Notamacropus eugenii: one gene and its partner. The protein of the gene in region 2 binds, or shares a complex with, the protein of the main gene of each other region. Links are inferred from orthologs where the notes say so. Each region holds a gene or a part of one and is shown on either strand. Other genes may lie near its edges. The genes, in order: ODAD4 and ODAD1.

The links.
Region 1: ODAD1 (region 2) and ODAD4 share a complex: the UniProt entries of both Homo sapiens proteins name them as parts of the outer dynein arm-docking complex. The link is inferred for Notamacropus eugenii from reciprocal best matches to the Homo sapiens genes ODAD1 and ODAD4.

Annotation. Positions count from the first base shown.
Region 1 is NC_092873.1:358,360,521-358,371,524, forward strand, and holds the start of ODAD4 (outer dynein arm-docking complex subunit 4), read left to right. Parts: upstream 1-5,637; 5' UTR 5,638-5,740; intron 5,741-6,290; exon of another isoform or gene 6,291-6,468; intron 6,469-6,774; exon of another isoform or gene 6,775-6,874; intron 6,875-11,004. Other genes in the region: ACLY (ATP-citrate synthase), read right to left, coding at 937-1,095. UniProt on the Homo sapiens protein: Component of the outer dynein arm-docking complex (ODA-DC) that mediates outer dynein arms (ODA) binding onto the doublet microtubule. Plays an essential role for the assembly of ODA-DC and for the docking of ODA in ciliary axoneme.
Region 2 is NC_092876.1:12,891,960-12,903,112, reverse strand, and holds the start of ODAD1 (outer dynein arm-docking complex subunit 1), read right to left. Parts: upstream 5,122-11,153; 5' UTR 4,920-5,121; coding exon 4,155-4,919; intron 4,068-4,154; coding exon 3,954-4,067; intron 3,857-3,953; coding exon 3,789-3,856; intron 3,138-3,788; coding exon 2,950-3,137; intron 2,580-2,949; coding exon 2,445-2,579; intron 2,107-2,444; coding exon 2,024-2,106; intron 1,855-2,023; coding exon 1,683-1,854; intron 1,460-1,682; coding exon 1,302-1,459; intron 1,208-1,301; coding exon 1,104-1,207; intron 746-1,103; coding exon 667-745; intron 393-666; coding exon 312-392; 3' UTR 1-311. Other genes in the region: EMP3 (epithelial membrane protein 3), read left to right, coding at 9,237-9,314, 9,961-10,072, 10,446-10,586, 10,722-10,882. UniProt on the Homo sapiens protein: Component of the outer dynein arm-docking complex (ODA-DC) that mediates outer dynein arms (ODA) binding onto the doublet microtubule. Involved in mediating assembly of both ODAs and their axonemal docking complex onto ciliary microtubules.

The DNA of each region.
Region 1 (11,004 bases), on a different chromosome or scaffold from region 2:
AAGAAAGGGACAAAGAGAGGAAGAAAATAAGTATTTACTAAACACCTACACTATGCTGGGCCCTGTGCTAAGCATTTTACAAATATTATCTCATTTGATCCTCAGAACCACCCTGGAAGGTAGGTGCTATTATGACCCTCATTTTACAACTGAAGAAATGGAGGCAGGCAGAGGTTAAGTGACTTGCCCAGAGTCACACAGCTAATAAGTGTCTGAGGCTGGATTTGAACTCAGGTATTCCTGACTCCAGGCCCAGTACTCTATCCACTGCACCACCTAGCTGCCTCATTGGGAAAGAACAGACACTTTGGTCCCAAAAAGAGCTTAGATTCTCCCCTCTGCATCTCTCAAGATCTAGCTCTAATTCCCAACCTTACCATGCATCTTCTCAACTGCTCCATTCCAATGGAACACCTGACTTGCCCACCATCTTGCTTCCAATTCCTACCTTAGCCTTTGCACTGGACCCTTCCCTCATGCCTCTCCTCACCCTCACATCTTGGAACCCTTAATTCCCTTCAAGACTCAGCTCAAATCTGCCTCCTTCAAGGTATACCTCCTATCCTCTCAGGCATTTATTCCTCCTCCGCCTCTCCCACTTCCTCCCAACATCATTGTGGACGTATTTAGTGCACATGTACTCTGTGCATATTGTATCCCTGCCCTCTCCCACAACAGAACCTGGGCTCCTTGAGGGTAGAGACTAACATGTTTGCATTTGTATATGCCACACAAAGCACAGAGTAGTGCTTGTGAATTCATTCAGACAGACCAGCCTCTGTCTGTCTGACCGACACCGGTCCCCCGGTTCCCCCATCCTCAGAAAAAGCTCAGAAAAGACTGTTATCTAATAATAATTATTCTTGTCTCTCTGACAAGGGTGCTTTCCTATTCCACTGACACCCGCCTCCCACCCTCAATATGGAGGCAGCTGACCTGGCTAATGAGCCAGGGGTGGTCCTGCAGCAGGTGGGACCAGTCGGTGTCAGGGGTGACCCGAGCATACTTGAATCGGTTCTGGATCGCCGATGTGGTGCAGATGTACTTGTAGAGAAGCTCCTTTCCCGTCTGTTCCGATATTGCCTTGGCTGACATGGCTGTAAGAGGGACAGACGCTGCCTGCCCAACAGAAGGCCCCTGGTCAAAGAAGAGGCAGTAAAGAACCTACCTTCAACTCTCACTCACCCCCAAACCTCTGTAGTCTCATGGCTTGGGACTCCCAGATAAAGACCCTTGTTTAGTTCCAGCTGGGTAGAGCCATTTGCCATTATGGCTCCAACTCCCCCCTCCAAACACACCAGAACAGATGACCTTGGCATCTCTCAGAGGAAGAGCAGAAAAAGGCTCCAAGGGGGATAAAGTGAAATTTTCCCTAATACTAGGGAAGGATAAGAGATGCCAGAAGAATGAAACCATGGAGGAAGTCAGGGATAGCTCTTCTCTGAGGAACTAATTTCAGCTCTGCTTTCACTCCAGGCTGGCAAAGAAACCTTACATTCCCATCACATCTTGTGGATGATGGGGAGGCGGGTATGAGAATGGGCAGCTAGCCCTTTTTGGTGTGTATCCTGATCTGGTGAAACTTGTGGACACTTTTGTGTTCTTAAGTATAAAACCTAAAATACACAAGATTACAAGGGAATTCACTTACATGGAATATTATCAAATGAATAATTATAAATTAAATAATATTAAATATTAAAATAACTAAAACATTAACGAAATAATTAACAAAATATTAAATAACTATACGTTCATAGAACCCAGGTTAAGAACTCTTGAGATGGGGGGATTCAGATACAACACAGGAAAACTCCTGTGACCCCAATTTACTCATCATACACACACAGCTCCCCAATCTCTAGTGCACCCAACTAGAATTGCACAATTTCCTTCTAGATTTCTTTCTGAACCACTTGTCACAACTCTACTCCCCAAAGAAGCTCCATCTATCACCCCAGGATTCTGTCTTTCTCACTATAAGACAGAGTGAAGTATTTGTGGGCTGGCAATCAGAAGGCCTGAGGTAGCCCACTTCCAACACATATTCCAAAATCAGACCCTCCTTCCAGAATATTCTTATTATACAAAGGAGGAAACCAGTGGGCCAGGTAGAACAATGAGCCTATTAGCCTCCCAGCCAGGTCTTTTAGCTGCAGTAATTGTGCATCTCAGGAACTCCACACATACCAGTCCACCAACTAAGGGCTCATGAGCAAGTCACTCCATCCCTGTGGGCCTCATTTTCCCCAGATGTAAAACAAGAATGGGATGGACCAGATGATCTCCAAAGCTCCCCTGAGGCTCTAAAGAAACTTATTTCAGCTGGGATGCTGGGGACCCTACAGAAGGAGACCTCCTGTCACTGACAGAAACAAGTGAATTTTTTATTTTTAGGAACCCCAAATCTCAACCTCCTCCTCTCAACTCCAGAAAGTGAACAAAACCCTGATCAAGATTTCTCCATTCATTTATCCTCCGTCCCTTGTCCAATCCTGTCCTGTACTCCCATAAGGCAGTACAAGTAACAGGCTGGGTCAAAGGGAGGCAGAGGTCAATGGAGAAAGAAAAAAAGATAACGGAGTGGGGAGAGAAACATATAGTCAGGACTTCTGCCATGCCTGGATAAGTGAGATTAAAAAGAAAACAAGGCTTTCTTCCCTTGGACACATAAAGATCAGGAAAGGTAATGTTATGTTTGTTGGGGAAAATGTCAAGGTTAGTGGCTTCTGGTCAGTGTTAGTCTGGGTTTTTGAAGGTCTTGCCGTGTCTGGAATTTTGTCCCCATCCAAGAATCAGAAGAGAAGCAGGTTAATGAGAGAGGCTCTTGTCTGAAAGTCAGCCAACCCAGCCCCTGCCCCCTTGTCCTTTCCCTTCTCCACTTATGGAGAATGAATAGCTTTCTCCACCCCCCCGCCCCCCCCATCCTTTTTAATTTTATCTTACTTGTATTGAAATCTTTTGTTTTTACCTTCCTGACCCAGGGAAGCATTTTTCCTATAAGACATCCAGATACTCCCCCCTCAAAAAATACACCTCTGCAATGGAAGGAGGGAAATACATTTTGTCAACTCAGGAAATTTAGCTCCTTTTAAAATTCTAATCTGGATCCTGCTATGTGGCCTAAAATAGATTAATCTTGCTGGGTCTCAGTCACTCAATCTATAAAATGGGTGCAATCAGATTGAGCTCTCAGTGCTACAGAAAAGAACCAGCAGGTATGGCAGTGAGAACAATTGGAGATCTTTTCATTTCTGGAACTGCCTTGGAGCCCCTAGCTGCTTCTTCTTAATTTGGGGCTGATTCTTCTGACTTCCCAGACCAGCCCCTCCAACCCTCATCTCCACCTCTACCTACCCCAGTTCTCAAAGACAATTTCCCAATCTTCTTGACTCTGGGACCAGAAAAACTGGTCTTGAAGTAGAATGCGCCACACCTCCCGTTTTCACCTTAAATGAAGCCAGGGGCAGACAAATGCCATGGTGGGGATGGAGGTGGAAAGTTAATTCTATCGTCCCTTCTCACTTCTCATCCCCAAGATGAATTTGGGAAACATGTCCTTGTAACAGTATCACTGATGCTCAACATCTCAGACATACCTAAGTGACCATTAGGGGTAAAACAGTAGACAGCAGAATACAATCATTTGGGAAATACTTTAGAAGTCTGTCATTCTAATCCCTTCACTCAAATAATTTCCATTAGCAAAATTGTAGTAGAGGAGCAGACACAGATGATCTGTTTGCCAAAAATTAACAGGTTTTGGTGACTGGGACTCACAGAACAAGAAAAAAAAACACATTGAATAAATAATAGATGGCAAGAGGAAAAAATTACTAATTACTAAGGACATTCTTCAGACAATGAGGAAAGGTGTTCACACAACTAAGAGAGGAGAGGGGGCAGTTAAGTCATCTCCTACGGATTGGGTCATACCCCATTCTTCTACCAAACCCAATCATGATTCTGCATCTCTGATTTTCAAACAAGGTCCTAAAGGAAGACCTGTAGGTCAGAGCTTGCAAATCCCAGATCTGGGATCAGATACCTAAAGGGGACATCTCAGGAGAAACAGAAAGGAGATGGTAATGTGGGGAGCTGTATTCACACCCAGGGCATTTTTTCCAAATGCAAGGTAGGTCCTTCCAGCCTGAGACAGGGAGTCTACTAGTTACTGCAGTACAGGAACTGGTGTTTATTCACTCACTGTTCATAAAGAAAGGCAAAGCCAAACATGGTAACTGAAGCCAGTGTACTTTAAAACCCAGAATCTTAGAGTTAGAAGGAATTAACTGGTTCTTTGTATCTTGCCAGGGCTGAAGGGCCTAGGTTAAATAAGTTCACCAACCACAGCTGAAGCCACCAGAGAGAGAGCTTCAGCCAACTATCCCGGAAATCGAATTCTCAATTTCAAATGAATTTCAATTTCAGATTCAGGTGGTGGGGGTGGGAATGGAGTTAGTGGTTCAGAGGATTTACCACTAAAGCCCCAGGAACCTATTACAACAAAGAAAGGTATTGGCTAATAAACAGAAGGGTGATTTATAGACCACTTAGGGAAAGGGGTTATACTCATTTCTATGTAAAAAGATGAATAACAGGAGAATCAAAACCCACTCCTCACCAAGGATCCTAGCAAATTAAAGTTCAGACACATCTTATTTTAAGACAGAAGGAAGTACCCTACAGCCTAGTTCCCCATCTAGATAAGTATCAGCTCTCCCAATCAGAGAAAAATGGGAGAGCCAGTAGAAGGAACAGGATAAGAAATGAGAAAGCCCTAAAAAGGTCTTTTCTTCGAGTGTGACTTGAGAGAGAAATTTTACCCTCTATTTCCCCAAGGGGAGTCTGAACAGGGTTTTTGACCACAAGCCCAAAACAGAACTAGTAGTAGTCCATTTCAGGGTCCCCTTTTGAGGACCTAATACATAGGACATCATATATGTTATGTGGTGAGACACTCAAATTAGCTGAAAAGCTCTTATTACCTCTACTTTCTCTCCCCTAAACTAGTATCACTCCAAAGACCCTAAGGCCTTTCCTGAGATCTTAAAGCCTGTGCCACTGTCACTGGGGATCCCCTATGACTGAGGCCTTCTAGGAGAGGTGCCAGCATGAGATTCACCAGGAGGTGGGTGTGCCTCTCTCTAACTCACCAACGCAGAAGGGACTAGGAAAGGGAGCTAAAGCAGAGCATAAATTAAAAGGAAGGGGGTTGGAATCACGTTAAAAGGTGGTCAGAAATAAGAACCCTCAACCTCCTCCCAGAAGCTTATCTGCCCCCTGTTTTTTTTTTTTTGCCGTAGCCTAACATCCAAACCCTCAGATTCAATCTGGTCATCGGTAACCACCTTCCAAAGAAGGGTTCACGTGGAGTGGAGAGCCCAGAACTCCTATGTGGTACATTGTACTAGCCAACATTTGGGGAGGGGAGTTCAGGGAAGAGTGGATCCCCATCAGCAATGCCCTCTCCTCCCGCTCCAACCAGACTAGGGGAAGAAAAGGAGGGGATGGGAGTGGGGGGAGGTCCTCCAGCCATTCCGACCATCTGGATGGATGGAGCAGCCCGCACGAGATGGCATCACGTTAACACCTAATCCCCCCCAGCTCCACCCACTCCAGCCATGAAGACCCCACCTCCCAAGGTCCTTTCCAACAAACCAAGACCTGGGAGAACTCAGCGACACCCCGAGGGAGTCACAGAACCGCGCCCACCCGCCAGACCCTACGACCCTTACAGGTTTAAGGGGGTTCGAAGCCCTAAGCCCACGCTGGAGGGGGAGGGCTGTAAAGATCACCGGGGGGGGGGGGGGGGGGGCAGGTTCTCTGGACTTGCTCGAGCTGGCCGCGCTTTTCCCATTTCCTTTCCTCCAGGCTCGGGTCATCTCCGGGTGCCCGGCTCCCTGGGTGTGGAAGCGGGGTAGGAGTGGTGGCGGAGCCCCGGCTGGGAATAAAACCGGGTAGCGACAGGTGCCGGGGAGGGGGCGCGGAGGCGGGAAGAAGGGCAAACACCAGGTCCGGGGGAAGAAACCGGGGCAAAGCCTGGAGATGCGAGTGCGCGCGCGTATGCGTGGATGGCCGGCTTGTTGGGGGAGGGGGACAGCGTGCTGACCATGGCCGCGGACCGTGCAAAGAGAACCCGGGAAAGGCGATCCGAAGCGCCGAACAAGCTAACTTCCAGGGCGAAGGGGGCACAGGATGCGACCATCCTAAGGCTAAAGGGGAGGGGGGGAGCGGGCGGACTGGTGAAGGGATCCCTGCCGCGGCCCACGCGGCCGTCTCCGACTCACCTCTGCGCGGCCGCCTCTCGGTAGTGGTCCCTCCGAAGGCCTACTTGCAGCCCTTAGTCTTCCTGCGCGCCCCTAAGAACTTGTGCCTGCAGAAGCCGCCCCAGCCCCGGCTTTTGTCCGGGGCCTAGCCAGGCTCCTCCCCGCCCCCCACCCCCTTCCATCTGCTCATGGCTGGCGGATCCCGGGGATTGGCCACACGTGTCTCCTAGCCTGTTCCTGAGACTCTCTTCCTATTCGCTGTCCGACTCCGGCCCCGCCCCCGGAGGCAGACTTGAGGGTTCCTGGGACTTGTAGTCCTGTTTTCCCCGCGGGCCATTGGCGAGCCGCCTCGGAGCCTCGCTCCGCCCCTCCCAATTTCGGTTCCGCCTTCGCCTTTCCTGACCTCCCAGACGCTCCCTCCTTCCCCACAAGTCACTGAACAGTCCTGCGCCTCCGCCCTCCCTCCCTCCCCTATCAGGGGGCGGGGCCATCGGTGGGGAGATGGGCGGGGCCGACTCTCGGAGGATAGGGTGCCACGCGTGCGGGCGGTGGGCTGTGGCCCGATGCCTGGGCGGGGCCGGTAGCCATGGGGATCCTACCAGCGGGTATGTGGGGGAAGAGGGGCTTCTGAAGGGGTACCGATCGGGGCTGGCCCCTCCCACCCTGCATCCTGGCGGCTCTAAAGCCCTCCAGTCCCGGCCTTGCCTAGCAAGTCGTGAGCCCCCTCGGGTTACTGGGTAAGGCTGCGAGCCACAGCTGCAGTCAGGTCAGATCTGTCCAGGTAGGGTGCAGTGGGGGAGGGGATCCTGGGCTGCATCCGTGCCGGAGGGGGAGTCTTCACACACTGCTTTCCCTTCCCCCCTCCTCCCGCCCCTCTAGGAGGGCGAGGGGGGAGGAGAGCCCAGGTAGACGGAGAGGAGAACCTGAGGCATTAAATCAAAATATTTCGATTAAATTAAATTAACTAATTCAAATAAATTATAATATAATAAAAATATAATAATTATAATAATTTAATTAATTTATTTTCGATTTAATTAATTCGATTAATTTAAAGAGTAGCGATATGGGGTCGCCCAGCACTAGAATCTACTGATTTCTTTGTGTGTGTGTATATGTGTATATATACATACATATATATAAAATGCCTTTTAAAAAATGTAAGAGGAGTAGTCTTTGTTCTCTTAAGAAGGTGCCAATAAGCATGCTAATACTGGAGTTTTTAAGTTTTTAAAACTTGAAGGTGGACAAGTTTATGATATCACAAAGAAGTGTCTGAAATTATTGAGTATAGCTCCTACATAAATTCATCCTCTTTTTGGCAAAAACATTTCTAATTGAAGTCACCAAAAGCAAGAGTAATGTGTCAGATTTGTTCTGGCATTAAATACAGAAGTCTATTCTAACATACTGTGGGTAAACAAGGTCAAGGTTTGAGTCATTCCTGTTGAATAGGGCATGATCTGCTACCATCACCGTCAGTTGGCACTTGCTTCTGACTGACCAGACTGAAGGGTACAAACTCAAAGTTGAACAGAGTATCCTAAAATCTGTTATATTTCTCAACAGCATTGATTTTAAGTATAATGTAATAAGTTAATTTTTGAAATTAAAAAGAATTGCAACTTATAAAATTGAAATAACTTCAAAACAGTTGTAGATGATTTGTTGACATTTTCAACAATTACATTTAAATTGTGTAAAGTATCTCAGAAAGTGTAGTGACAATTTTGAGGTTTTTTGTTTGTTTTTTAAAAGTAAGCATTGCTAATATAAAGTCTGGAAATTACTGCTCTATAGTGGGAAAAGTAAACTCATCAGATTGATGGTGGGGGAGTCCCCTGATCAGGTCCCTCTTAGGTAATGTTTCCTGAAAAAAATTCAAGTGGGAGCCTTAGGATCATCTCATCCAAATCTCTGATTTATATGGCCTTAAGAGGAATGTCTCTCATTTAGGAGAAGGTACCATCATCAAAGGATCATAAGTTTAGCTCTGGAAAGAATTTTAAAGGCCATCTAGTCTAACTCTTTTATTTTGTAAAGAACTAAGGCATAAAGAGGTTAAATGTATTTCCTAAAATCACAGAGGTAATAAATGACAAAAGTAACACTCAAATTTACATCCTGGGTCCCCAAAACCAATGTACTTTCTACTGTACCAAAACTACTTCACTAGGGCTCCCTCCTCCTCCAGCCCAGTGTCTCTCCCTAACTATGCCATGACCCCAGGAAGCTGTGGAGCCCAGAACTAACATTCAATCATTAGTTCAAAGGAGGTCAGTCCAGACTTCCAAAGCATTGTCGTGTTTCCATCCTCTCTGCCTCAGCCACCAAGGTGCCAGACATCAAGTTTTGCAATGGTTCCCAAGAGTAAACAGTTTCCCTGGCCCATCCCCTATCCAGTTTCAAGTCAGGCGGGAAGCAGGTGGACAAGGCTGCTTCTTTACCTGTCCTGCCCACACCCTAGACAACTGAATTACTGATGATGTCATTGATATTCTCCCAATGATCTTTAATCATATCCTTTTAGAAAGTGCTCCTTCCCATACTCCTGTTCTTCCTGCCAGAACCAACTATAGAGATAAAAAGGGAACATGGAAAGGCTAGAGAGCTTCTAGGCATCTATGCTCTTCTCATTTTGGAGCAGTATATTTCCGACCATGATGTCCATTCCTCTATCTGGCCTTTCTCCTTTCCCGTTACCTTAGTATAGTCCTCATTACCATACTCTTTGGACAATGTCAAGAGCCTCCTGAAAGGTCTCATATCTGTTCTTTTCCTTCCCTTGGCCCAAAATGGTCTTTTATACAGATGCAGGAATAATTTTTCTTTCCAACCATATCATTCTTCTGCTAAAAAAAAAAAAAGGCTCCTCTTTCTCCTCCTCTTCCTCACTATCACCACCATCTTCTTCCTCCTTCGCTGCTGCTTCTCTCCCCTCCCCTCTCCCCCCAACCCAGTTCCCTTGGAACAGACCATCCTGGTGCCTCTTTTGTGAGCTACGGTTGAGGAGACCCCCGGATTAGCCATGGCAGACAAAAAACCGAAGGAAGGAGTCAAGACTGAAAACAACAACCATATTAATTTGAAAGTGGCAGGGCAAGATGGTTTGGTGGTACAATTTAAGGTTAAGAGGTGCACACCACTTAGTAAACTAATGAAAGCCTATTATGAACAACAGGGTTTGTCAGTGAGGCACATCAGATTCTGATTTGATGGGCAACCAATCAATGAAACAGACAAACCTGCACTGTTGGAAATGGAGGATGAAGATATAATTAATTGATGAATTCCCGCAGCAAACAGGGTGATTACAAAAAAAAGAATCTACACCTCTACTCCAGAACTGTGCTCCCAAGGAAAACAATACATCCATAATTAGAAAACCAAGGTTTGGTTCAAACACATCCTGACTACTGCAGTATAGTTTTCCCTCTTCTTTGATTCCCTTCCCCCATTCCTTTATTGTACATAAAGTAGTTGGTGTGTGTGCACAGGCAAAATGCTATTTTTTTAAACTAAATGGTTAATGGTATGTTTTGATCAACTTCAAATGGAGATGAGGAGGGGGAAAAGCAAACTGGTTCTGTGAAAATACCCCTTTTCTCCATTAGTGGCATGCTCATTCAACTTTTATCTTTATATTCCAGTAAGTTATTTTGCTCTCACTGTTTAACAACAACAACAAAAAAAACCTATCAAAAAATCCTTGCATACCTTGTTTGGTTGGATAATTTCAATGTTTTTCTTTTATCATTGTAAAATCAAGGGCAATTTTATAACATTTTTGTATGTAGCTGTTACATGTAGGGCAATCTCTGAATCTCAGTAGGGATAAACTACTCTAAAGAAATTGATTCTAGATAGTTTTCCCTTTCCCTTCAAGTAAAACATCTTGTTGTTTAAATACACTTTTTATTTGAAATAAACTGTTTTCTTTAATTATTCTCAAGAAAAAATTTTTAAAAAATTTACAAAGCTTCAGTGGTTCCCTGTCACCTTTTGAGCAGTATTCAAACTACTTTGTCTGGCATTCAAAGCCCTTCCCCACTAAGTACTGTTTTACCTTTCCAGCCGTACCTCATGGTCATACCCCTTTAGTCACTCTGTGCCACACTGCTCTCCTATTTCCAAGCTAATGCCCTTGCTATTCCAGATTCCTCTCCTCTTTACTTATTAAATCCATACCATCCTTTAAAGCCCAGCTCAAAGCTACTACTTTCATGAAGCCCTTCCCTCGTCCCTACTTCTAATTTGCAGGTAAGGTCTTTCCTCCTCACACTTCACATTGCACTTTTCTTTTTGTCCCTCTAATGCCTTATCCTTTAATGTACATTTTGATTATTTGTTTTTGTGACTCATCCCTCTACTACATAGGAAGGTCCAGGTAGGGATTCTATTTTAAAATAAAATTTTGGCTCCTCACCAGTGATTGGTGAAAGGGCTTAATGTTGTTCACACTTCATTTCTGAAGAGGAACAATGACACCATGATGTGATGGCTGATATCTTGACTTTCAAGTGAATTGGATTTAAGTGGGGTAGAGTTGCACAACATCCTCAGCCTTGCTCTCTCTTCCAGAGTCAATGAAGTTCAGTGGCAGGATAGAAGTCAAGACAACTGGTGATGGCCCAGGATGCAGTGGATAATCCACAGGGCCTGCTTCAGCCACTTTCGTGGCCATTGGAATAAATTGTTCTCATTTGCCAGTTCCCCCAGAGGAAGTCTTCACATG
Region 2 (11,153 bases):
ACCTTTTATTCCCAAGGTCACAGCATCACTGGACCCCCCCCTCCCCCCCAGTCTCCACCCAGGCCTCCACTACACTCTGAACTTGGGAAGGGATGGAAGGAAGCAAAAATTCAGGAAAGGGAGAGGCACAACCACCAAAAGACTGTGATGCCCCTAGATATATGGACAGCCAAGGACTCCCAGGGCTGAAGAGACAGACAGAAAGTTGGAAGCCCTTCTTGTGGGGGGTGGGGGGCAGGGAGAGGTGAGCAACAGAGAGGACAGGATCTCTAAGCCAGGCAAGGTTAAATGCTTGGAGGTTGCATCTTGGCCTACAAAGGTTTTTCTGATGCCCTCTTGCTCGGTGGCATCGACATGGGCGACTGTTCCTTGACCTGTTCTCGTTCCTGCATCTGTACTTCATTGAAAGAGAAAGGAAAAGGCAGTCACAGGAAGGTGAGGGCATGCAGAGGGGATGGGGGAGGGGGCAATAAAGAGGGTCAAGAGGACCCTGGAGGTGGTGGGGAAGAGGTATGAGGGAGGTAAGGTGGAGGGGTTGGCCAGGGTGAGAAGGGAGGGAGGAGGATAGGAGCTAGGATGGGGGGGGATGGAACAGACAGGGTGCTTGGGGACCAGAGGCAGGGGGAAGGGCCTCCCACAGACTCCCCCAAGGCCCCCACTTCTCACCGCCTTCAAGACCATGGCTAAAATCTCCTCCCGAGTCAAGGGCCGTTCATCCATCTGCTCCAGCCCCATGGGATCGTCCCTAGGATAAAAGGGCCCACCTCAGCCATACTGGAGTCTGGCCCTCCCCTCACAACCTTACATTTCCCCTTTCCCTGACTGTCCCCCAGAGGACCTTTGTTCCTATACAGCCCAGCTCTCTGTCCCTCTCATCCTGCCCAGCTCTCTGTCCCTCTCATCCTGCCCCTCATTCTTTGTGGCCTTCCCAAATCTCTACCCGCCTCCCATGACTCTGCTCTGCCCTCCAAAGTGCCCAGTATCTCTCCAGGTCTCTGTGAGGCTCAATCTTTCCTCCATCCCTCCATTCCAGAATCCTCCCCTAGGGCCTCCCCTCCTTTGTTCCCATATCTGAGCCCCTGGTATCACAGTCAGCATCTCACATGTTGCTGGGGGCCTGCGGTGGAACAAGTTTCTTGGGGATGGCATCCTCACTCTGGCCCAGGAGCCTGAGGGCGGTGGACTTGGGGTTGTAGGTACTGGATTCCTGAGGGAGGGCAAGGGCAGGGATCAGCAGGGGCACTCAGGCTCAGCTCCCCAGGACAACGGGGGTGGGGGGTGGGGGGGGAGACTTTGCCCACCGAGTTAGTGAAGGCCTGGGTGGCCAGCAGGTCAATCACTCGCTGCTCAGTGAGGCTGAGAAGCAGCTCCACAATCTTGTTCCCCATGTGGCTGCCTCCCAGGAGCTCCTTGAGCTTGGTGTCGTCACACTTGGCCTTGTAGAACAAAGACTGGATGGCTGCAGAGTGGGGCCAGGGTGGGGAGGGTGGGGTCAGTAAGGGCCTGGACAGCCCTGACCGGGGTGGTCCCTCCCTCCCTTCAGTCCCCTCTCAGCTCCTGACTCCTCTCATCTCCTCCTCAATCGCCTTTCCCTGAGCCCCCTCCTCCAAGTCTGTGTGCCCTTCTGCTGAGAAGGGGTTGGGGACTTGGCCAGAGGTCACCTAGGTCCTGGGGTCCCTCACCGGACTTGAGCTGCTCTAGGATCTTGGTCAGATTGCTGTGCTTGACCTCCACCACCTCGGCCTCCTTAGCCAAATCCACCTTTCGCTGCTCCAGGGCATCAAGCTGCTGACGCTTGGCTCCCTTGTCAGCCTCTTCCTGGGCCAAGGTCAACTGAGCCAGGGCATCCTGAATCTAGAGACCAGAGCCACAATACTCAGGAATTCGGTAAGGTCCTAAGGGTCCTTTGTCAGCACAGAACTGGGAAGGAGGGGGAGTTGTGTTCCCATTTTACAGATGAGGAGCCTGAGCCATGGGGGGAGTCAACTCGAGGCTCCCATAAGGGAACAGGGGTGGGACTCACCTCCTGGATCTCCTCCTTGAGCTTCTCCATCTCTGAGTTCTGCTCATTGATAAAGGTGAACTCAGCAAAGTTTCTTTCCTCATCTGAGGTGAGTAGAAGAGAGAGAGAGGGAGATTGCAGAGAGCCAGAGAGAGAGAGAGAAAGAGAGGGAAGAGAGATGGAGTAGATAGGGAACTAGAAAAAAAGAGCAAAGGGGATCAAGGGGAAGTCAAAGGGGAGAGACTAAGGCAAAGAATGAGGGGAGAAGAGAAGGACAGACAGAGCCAAAGGGAGGGAGGGAGGGATCTAAGGAGGCCAAGTTGGAGCTGAGCCAGGAAGGGGGGAGTTGGAGAGGAGGCATGATCTCAGGAGGCCAGGTGGAGCAGCTGCTCTGCCATGGGGCTGCCCGAGGCTGCCGCCCACCCGGCCCTCCACCCCTTACTTTCCAAATATATCTGCAAAATGTCCTCGGCGTTGCTCTGGCCCGTGATCTGGCCCAGCTTTTCCAGCACCTCCTCATACTGCAAAATAGCCTTCTCGTGTGAGGTCTTGCGGAGGCCTGCGGCCACTTCGTGTTCTGTTGGGAGCCCCACTGGTCAGCGGCCCTCTTCTGTCCTGGCAGCCACCCTTCCTTCTCACTCCTCTCTTTTCCTGTACAGTTTCCTCTCAGGGAGGACTGGTTCCTCAGGCCCCTGGGACCCTTTCTCTTAGCTCCCCCTCTGGCCACGGGAAGCTGCTTCTGCAGAAGCATTCAGACAAAGAAAGGCCTCTGACCTAGGTATTATATGCCCCTACCCCTTCCAGTCCTCAGTTTCCCTCACCATCCAATGGGGAGGAGGGTGGACATGACAACATCTAAAGAAGGCACATGCCCTTGTGCTTTCATCTGGGTCTTGATTTCTCTCTATGCTAAATGGAGGGGAAATCTGTGGTCCCCTGGCCCTCACCCCGCTTGCGTCGGGCCTCCATGACCTCAGCATCCACAAGTCTCTCCTGGTTCTTGGTAACCAGGAAGTTGTGCAGCTGCTCGAGGTGGCAAATCTGCCTCTGCACCACCTGCAGCTCAGCATTGTACTGACTTATGTCCTTGTCTAGCTTCTCCTGCAGCTGGCTCAGCTTCAGCTTGGCTTCCTCCCTGCCCAAGAGGGGGCACAGAGGCATATGGGGAAGGGTCACAAAGGCATGTGGGGGGCTGCAGAGACACATTGGGGGAACATGCAGAAGCACATGGGGGGCCCACAGGGACACATGGGGGGGGCCACAAGAGCACAGATGGGGTTGGCCCTCTTGGAAGTCTGGCTCCCTCAGCCCTGGATGGGGTCTCAAGGAAGTTGCCTGAAGACACAAGGAGGGGCTGTACCCTCAATCCTGGCCCCAACAGAGAACCTAGATGAGCCTAGTGTAGGTTAGAGTTGGTTTCCTCAGTCCTAGACAGGGACTGTACCAAAAACATGGAGGGGCCTGGCTCCCTTGCCCTGGAGAGGACAGGGAACATCCCAGACAACAGACTTGAAGGGCCTGTTGACTGCACACCAGGCAGGGTCGCAGAGGTGCCTAATAGAGAGGGCTGGTTCTCTCAGTCTTAAAGAGGGTTCCAGAGACATCTAGAGGGAAGGAACTTGGTGCTGCCCAGGGTCTCAGGAGTCAATCCCAGCAACACTGAGAGGAGGGGGTTGGCTCCCTGAGTCCAACAGAGCCACCCCCAACTTGTCACAAACCCAGTACCCACACTCACCCAGAGCAGAGAGGGCACCCCCTGGCACGCCAGGGAAGAGCCAAAGGTTACCTGGCATCAAAGGCTGAGTTGGATTCGTCTATGTGCGATCTAATGGTGGAGCGGATGTCCTGCAGCTCCTGCTTAGCATGGGCACGGTCATGGGCAACAAGTTGGTGAGGGAGAGAAGCTGAGCCCTGCTCCCGCCTCCCTCTGCCTAGGGCTGGGGGGCCTGACCTTCTTCAGCTGCTGGTTGATATACAGAAAACGATTTCTCTGGATGTGCAGCAAACCCAGCTCTTCTCGAAGGATTCTGTTCCTTACCAGCTGGGTGTCAAAGCGGGTGGTGGCCTGCAGGGCATCAGGATGGCAGGGTCACCAGAAGCTCTGTTGGCCTCCTGGGACCCTCCCCCCCATCAGTGCCCCAGGAGCACCCACCCGGTCTAGTTGGTTCTCCAAGATCTTCACTCTTCGGAGGTCCCGGGCCTTCCTCTGGAGGACTAAGCCTGGGCCCCTGAGGTCCTTCAGCTGCAGCAACACTCGACTCTCCCACTTGGCAATCTGGGGCCCCGTGGGGCCGTGGAGAAGGGACTCGGTGGGTCCTCCATTGGCCGGCAGGCCCAGCCCAGCACTGCCCCCCGCCCCGGCCCCACCTGTTGGTCCAGCTTCTTCAGGTGCTCCTGCGCCTGGATCACCTCCTTGTACAGCTGCTGCCTGCGCTCCAGGAGGTTTCGAAGGTCCTTCTCCCGCGCCTGGTCCAGGAGCTTCTGGGCTTGGCTCTGCGAGATCTCCATCTTCACCCGGAGCTCCGTCTGCTCCTGCTGCAGCCTTTGGATCTCCACCCTGCGGCCGGAGCCCGAGAGAGCTGGAGCTGGCCTGCGCCCTAAGCCACGAACGCCCTTCTCCGTTCGCCGAGCACACCTGCCCTGGGCCAGCCTCCACCCCCCGCACCCGGCTCACATCTGCTTGTGGATCAGCTGCTGGATCTCCCGGCCGTAAGCCTGCCGCTCCGCCTCCATCACCCGGCATTGTCTCTGCAGGCGGCTCAGCTCCCCCTCTGCAGGGCGGGGGGCAGGCGGGGGCCGGGTCAGCTGGAGGGAGGCCGGGCCAGCGCCCCGCTCCGACCCCCCGGCCCGAGCACTTACCGGAGCTATCCAGGTAGGCTTCGCTGTCCTCCGAGCGCACGCTGATGGCCAGCGGCATGGTGGCTGCGGGGAGAAGTCTACTTGGGCGGCCCTTGGAGGGCAGTGGAGGATCCAGGTTGGGAAGTTGGGGGGCACAAGGGCACCGGGGGCCCTACAGGTCTAGACTCGGGCCTCGCCCGATTACGCCCTCTGTTGTGGTCCTGGTTGCTGGGGCTACAGGGCCGGCGGCGGGGATTGGGGAAGCTGGCCCAGGCGGGGTGGGGGGGGAGGGGGATTGGGGCCCCTCCTTCACGCTCCTCCCTCGGGTTTCCCCTTTCCCTTTCTCCCCCCTCCCTCCTTCTCCCTCCCTTCGGCCCTCCCCCGACTCCCTCTGGGGGAGGCTGACTCAGAGGATCTCCTCCAAACCCCTCCCCGGGCCTCGGGCTGGCGGAGCAGAGGCATGCAAGCCAAGGGGAGGGGCGGGGTTGAGAAAAAGGGGCTGGAGCTGAGAGGAGAACGTGGCACCGCCTGGGGGCGGAGCTAAAGCGGTGAGGGGCGGGGTCAAGCGGGAGAGTGAAGATTTAAGAGAGCTTTGGGAGGGTGTGGCTGGGGATGCTGGGGGGCGGGACAAAGGGGACGTGGGTAGTAGAAACTGGGGTGGGGGCTGAGGGGAGAGACTCGGGAGGATTTGAGTGGGAGGGCTTGGGGAGGAAGATGGGGGTTTGGCTGAAGCTAGGAGTTAAGGGGGCGGGACAAGGGGGATTTGAGGGATGCAGGAGCAGCAGACTAGGGGCTGGGGCGGGAGGGAGGAGCTTGTGAGGGGCGGGGCTTAGGAGCTGCCGAGGGGGCGGAGCTAAGGGGAGAAGGGCTCTTAATCTGCGGGTGGCAAATGGGGCGTAGATGGGCGGAGGGAGAGCTGCTCACCGCCGCCTCCCTCCCTCGCGCCCCCGCCTAGTGCGCCTGAGCACCAACGCCCTCGAACCGCTCGGAGCAGGAGGCGGAGCCTCTCTCCGGGGCTCCTCCCCGATTCCCTCAGTGGGAGGGAGCCCCGCCCCCAGCCCGAGCCACCTTCCACGTGCTGCCAGGCCGCAGCTCCCCGGGGCTGGGCCTCGAAGGAAGGCGGGCTGCAGCCCAGCTCCAGGCCGCCCGCGGCACAGGGCGTGCCCCAAAGCTGCCTGCGGTTTCCTGAGGGAGGAAGCAGTAGCCTCCTCGCTCTCCTCCCGGGGCTCAGCATCAGCCTGAGGGGCCCTCCTGGCCCTAGCCTGGTGGGCGCGCCCACCTCCCACCTGCCCTCTCAGGGCTACAAATCCGTCTCTTGTGCCCACGGCTCCCGGTTCGGCCAAGCACGGTCTGCTAGCCAGGAAGGAGCCGTGGGTTTGGAGTCAGAGGCGGCCCTGGGTTCCAATTCTGCTCTGGCTTTCTGTTCCGGATCTGAGCAGAGCTTTGCCCGGTGGCAGATCTGAGCTTCAGATCACATCAAGCCCGGGGCCTCTTCCTGGGTACCGAGCAGTGCTGGGGGACCCCAGGAGCAGCGGGTGCAAAGAGAAGAAAAAGGCCCGTAAAATGAAGGACTTTCCGAAGTCACTGCCTCCAAAGCCCGCTCCTCTGGCTGGTGGAGGCTCCTAGACGGCGGCCCCCCTGCTGCACCCACATTACTTGTATTGTGTTTTAGATCGAATTATCTGTGTATTGGTTATTCTCCCCTCCCCCACTGGAATGAAAGAAACGCCACGGGGGGCGGGGGGCACTATGGCAGTAACTGCTGGGGGGGAGGTCTGCCTTCTCCACTCAACAAAGTGACTTTCCTCAAACACAAATCTGATCAAGTCACTCCTCCATTCAATAAACTCCAATGGCTCCCTGTCATCCACCTCCAGGGTCAAATGCGGAGCCCTCTTGAGATCAAGGCCCGTCCCAACCTGGCGCCCTCCTTCCTTAAACCTCATTCCCCAATACATACTCCAATCCAGTGTCACTGGCCACCCTGGTTTTCCCCAAGCAAGACATTGCATCTCTGGGCTCCAGACATTCTCTCTGCCTATCTCCCATGCCGGGAACACCCCACCCTACGATGTGGTAGACTCTGGGAACCTCCTTCAATCTTCCCACTTAATCTGGCTTTTCACACCCAGATGCCCGTTACCCTTCACCTAGCCCAGCCCTCCATTACCTGTTACCTCTGGATTGCCTCACCTGCTTCCCACTTTTGATCAGTCACCCCAGTCCCATCAAGATCCTCCCTAAACCCCAATTCCCATCACCCTAGACCATCGCCAGATCCCTCACACAATCTTTCTGTATATAAATTCCATCTCACCTCCATGAAGGTGCTCAGATTCAGTCTGGCTTAGATTCAATCTCGCTGAGATTCTATCTGGCCCACTTGTCAATACAAGAGGCTTGTTAAGAATCAACCCAAAATGGCAAATCTTTAATAAACTTTGTTTTACTTTGGCTGAAAGAAGATTCGGGTCGAATTCATTTGGGTGTCCTGAGCACCCAAATCTCAACACTATGGTTTCCTGACCTCAACACCTCCACTCTGATACTGACCTCCCCCAAAGCTTTCCCCAACCCTCTGAATCCCAGCTCCTTCCCCTGTTAATGTCCTACTTATCCTGTCTACAACTTGCTTTGTATATACTTTTGTGTGTAGTCTACCCCCATTAGATCATAAACTCCTAAAGCTATCTTTTAGCCTTTTGGCGGGAGGAGGGGCATCCTCAGCCCTTAATACGGTGCCTGGCACATAGTCGGTAATTAATAAACATTTACTGACTGGTTGGCTTCCCAAGTCAAGGTCCTACCTTCCAGCTACCTTCCCCAGCCCTCAGTCTCTGCAAGCCCTGGGATCAGGGGCAGTGGTGACAGAAAGTGGAAGACACAAGGCTGAAGTAGACAAATGAATAACTTGAAAGACACAAACATAGAGATACAGAGACAGAGAGACACCCAGAGAGGGAAAGACAGAGAGACATAAAGAAAGTATGATGGTGCATGATTCAATGGAAACTTGGGTCCCTCCCAGGCTTCTCCTGCTTGTAAATAAAAAGGAAGTTAGAGAATATATCCCAGAGGCAGAGGAGAGACACCCACAGACAGAGAAATGCAGAGAGAGGCAGAGACCTAGGCGGGGTGGAAGAGAGAGAGTGGTTTGGACCGTACTGAGAAGGGAGTGGGTCTTCAGAGGAAGGAAGAAGGGAGGGAGGCGGGGGCCGGGCAAGAGGTGGAGAGAAGGAGGGAGAGAGCAGGGCGGGGCAGGGAGGCCGGGAAAAGGGACCGAGCATTAGCTCTGACTTCCTCTGGCTGCGCTGGCTAAGTGCTTCTCCGTTATTTGAGAAAGAAAGGAGCCTTTGAGACAGGAAAGACCCCATCTGCCTCCAGATACCTTCTACCTGGCCAAGGAGAAGGTGAGAATCCTAAAGCACTTAGTAGGTATGGGAAGGGAAGAGGAAGGGGACAGGAAGGGGAGGGGGCAGGGAGAGGGGAGAGGCAACACTCTTTGAGATCCACATATGGGACATTCCCTTCCCCACAGATGCTGGGGGTGGGGGGAAGTAGAGGGTGTTCTGCCAAAGACCCCAGCTGTCTCTTCCTGCCTCGTCTTCCTTCCTCCGGGGATCCAGACATCTGAGCTAACAGCCCTTACTCCCCAGCTCAGGATTTCCTGTCTTTCTCCTGTTCTAACTTCCAGACCCCAATTCTCCCTCTTGGCCAGTTCTCTGAAGAGACCCAACTAATTCCCTTAACTGCCCTGCACTAAGCCAGGCATCCCAAGCTTCCTACACCTCAGTTTTGCTCTCCTAGGGATCCCCACACTTAGTCCTGCTAGCACCCAGACCTTTACCACTCTATCTCACTTCCATAGCCCTGAAAGGCCCCAGGTGTTTGGCTGCCCTGCCCTAGACCGAGCGATGACTTGAGGAGGACAGTAGCAAGGCCCCAGGGCTGGGGTTTCTCTGGTGGGAGAGAAGGGAATGAGTCACAGTGACTCATGTTGAACCCCCACCAAGGAGCGGGGGAAGACAGGAGGAGAGCCTAGTGGAGTCTTAGTCCCTAGGGCAGCGCCCCACTCCAGCTCACAAACTGGGGACTAGTGGGGAGGAACTAGGTGGGGCAGGTTTCAATCCTCATGTCTGGGTTCTAGTTCTTAGAGGGCCCAGATGGTGCAAACACAGGGAGTGTGGGAGGGGAAGATCCCCCTGCAGCTCCACTCCACACACGCTTCCCGCCCCCCCCCCCCCCATCCTTTGAGGATGCAGGCATCTCCTTCAACTCCACTGGGGAATATCCAGGCTAGATCCCCAGGCCATGCCCCTAAACTCCCCCCTTGGGAGTGTCCTCCATACCTAGGTGCCAGCCTGGCTCTCCCCTCCCCCCAGACTCTGTGGGCATCATGTCCCTGCTCCTGGTGGCTGTCTCTGCCCTGCACATCCTCATTCTCATCCTGCTCTTTGTGGCCACCCTGGACAAGGTGAGATTATGGGTTCAGGGAGGGGTGTTCTGGCTCGGCCCAGGGCTTTCCTCCCTGCTCCCCCCCCTTCCCTGCCTTTTCCACCCCTGCGAAAGCATCTGGCCGTGCGATGCACCTCAATACAGGCACCTTTGGGGTAGAGACAAAAGTGAATGTCCTTGCCTTCAAAGAGCTTACCGCATATGGCAGAAACAATGGTACACACAGGTACATGCACACACACACTCAGACACACACTTGTACATACATACAATAGATGGATGTACATACGGGGGAGGGCCCTGCCCATGGGCGCAGAGGGAAGACATCCGAGGATGTGAGGAAGGGGATGTACCCCAGGAAAGGGATGGGGAGGGCAAAGATGATGAGCCCATAACCTGAGGGGATCCCAACGAGAGAAAGACCTTAAAGCTGAACAGAGGGGTTGACAGCTTTAGCCAAGAGCCAAGGAGTCCGGACACTTCACTGAGGGGGAGGCAGAGATACAGTCAAACTGGAGTTTAAGGAAAATCCCTAGGACCCCACCCATCAATTCCCCTCCTTCCAAGCAGGCTCTGCCCCTCGGCCACCCTCCCCCCCACCCTCCCCCGTCCCTAATTCTTGTTCTCTTCTGCCTTTTTTTTTTTTTGACCCCGACTGGTCTCAGTCATGGTGGATTCTCCCTGGGAATGACTCACTGAACCTTTGGAAGGAATGCTTGGCCCATTTGAACCAATCTTCCCGGGAGATCTGGCAATGCAAAAATGTCAGCGAAAACGGTGAGGGAGAGCACCCCCCAAAGCTCCCCCCACCCAACTACACCTCTGCATGGAGGGGGGGGCAGAAGGGTTTGGATTGCCACAGCCCATTAACATCAGTCCCAGGGGTCAGCCCCCAGTTCTGAGGGGCAAAGTCCCAAGGCCCCAAGACAGCCAGGGTTGGGATTCCACCTTCTGAGGAGGGTGGGGCCAATGCAAACAAATGAATGAATGAAATAGCATTTATGAAACACTACTATACCAAGCATGGTGCTGGGGGCCAGGAGTGCCAATACAAAAGGAGCCGGGTTGCTGCCCCCTGGGAGCTCCCAGTCTAACCAGGCAGACGTAGGGAAGGGAATGGCAGCTAAGAGTCTCCGGCTCTGCTCCCCAGGTTGGCTCAAGGCCGTGCAGGCCCTCATGGTGCTGTCCTTGGTGTTCTGCTGCCTCTCCTTCATCCTCTTCATGTTCCAGCTGTACAACATGAAACGAGGGGGTCTCTTCTATGCCACAGGGCTGTGCCAGCTCTGCACCAGTGAGTGAGCCAGGGCTGGGGCCTCGGGCATGGGTGCCCCTTGGAAGGGAGGATGGGGAGGGGAGGGCAGGCACCAGACTGGGGGCTGCAGGGAGGGGGTGGGTGTGACTCCCTCTGCCCTGCCCCCTCCCCTAGGTGTGTCAGTGTTCACGGGGGCCCTTATCTACGCCATACACGTCAAGGAGTTTCATCATGCTGGAGGCTCCTTCGGCTACTGCTTTGCCCTAGCCTGGGTGGCATTTCCTCTGGCGCTGGCCAGCGGCATCATTTACATCCACCTGAGGAAACGAGAGTGACGTCCCCCTCCCCTGGCCAGCTGGCCCTGGCTCACAGCCCCCGAACCAGTGAGACAGCAGCCTCTCCAGCTGCCTTGTCCTGGGCTAGGTCCTGACCCTGGCCAGTTTCCTCCTCTGTGGAATGGGGGAGTAAGAAGAAGCTTTCTCGGTCCTCTTCCTCTTCCCTGCCCAACCCCTCTGACATGCACTTCCTGCCTCTAACACGGTACCTTGGGGGCCTTTCCCGCTCTTACTCAGGCAGCTGGTGCCCAGATGACCTGGCCAGGAGTGA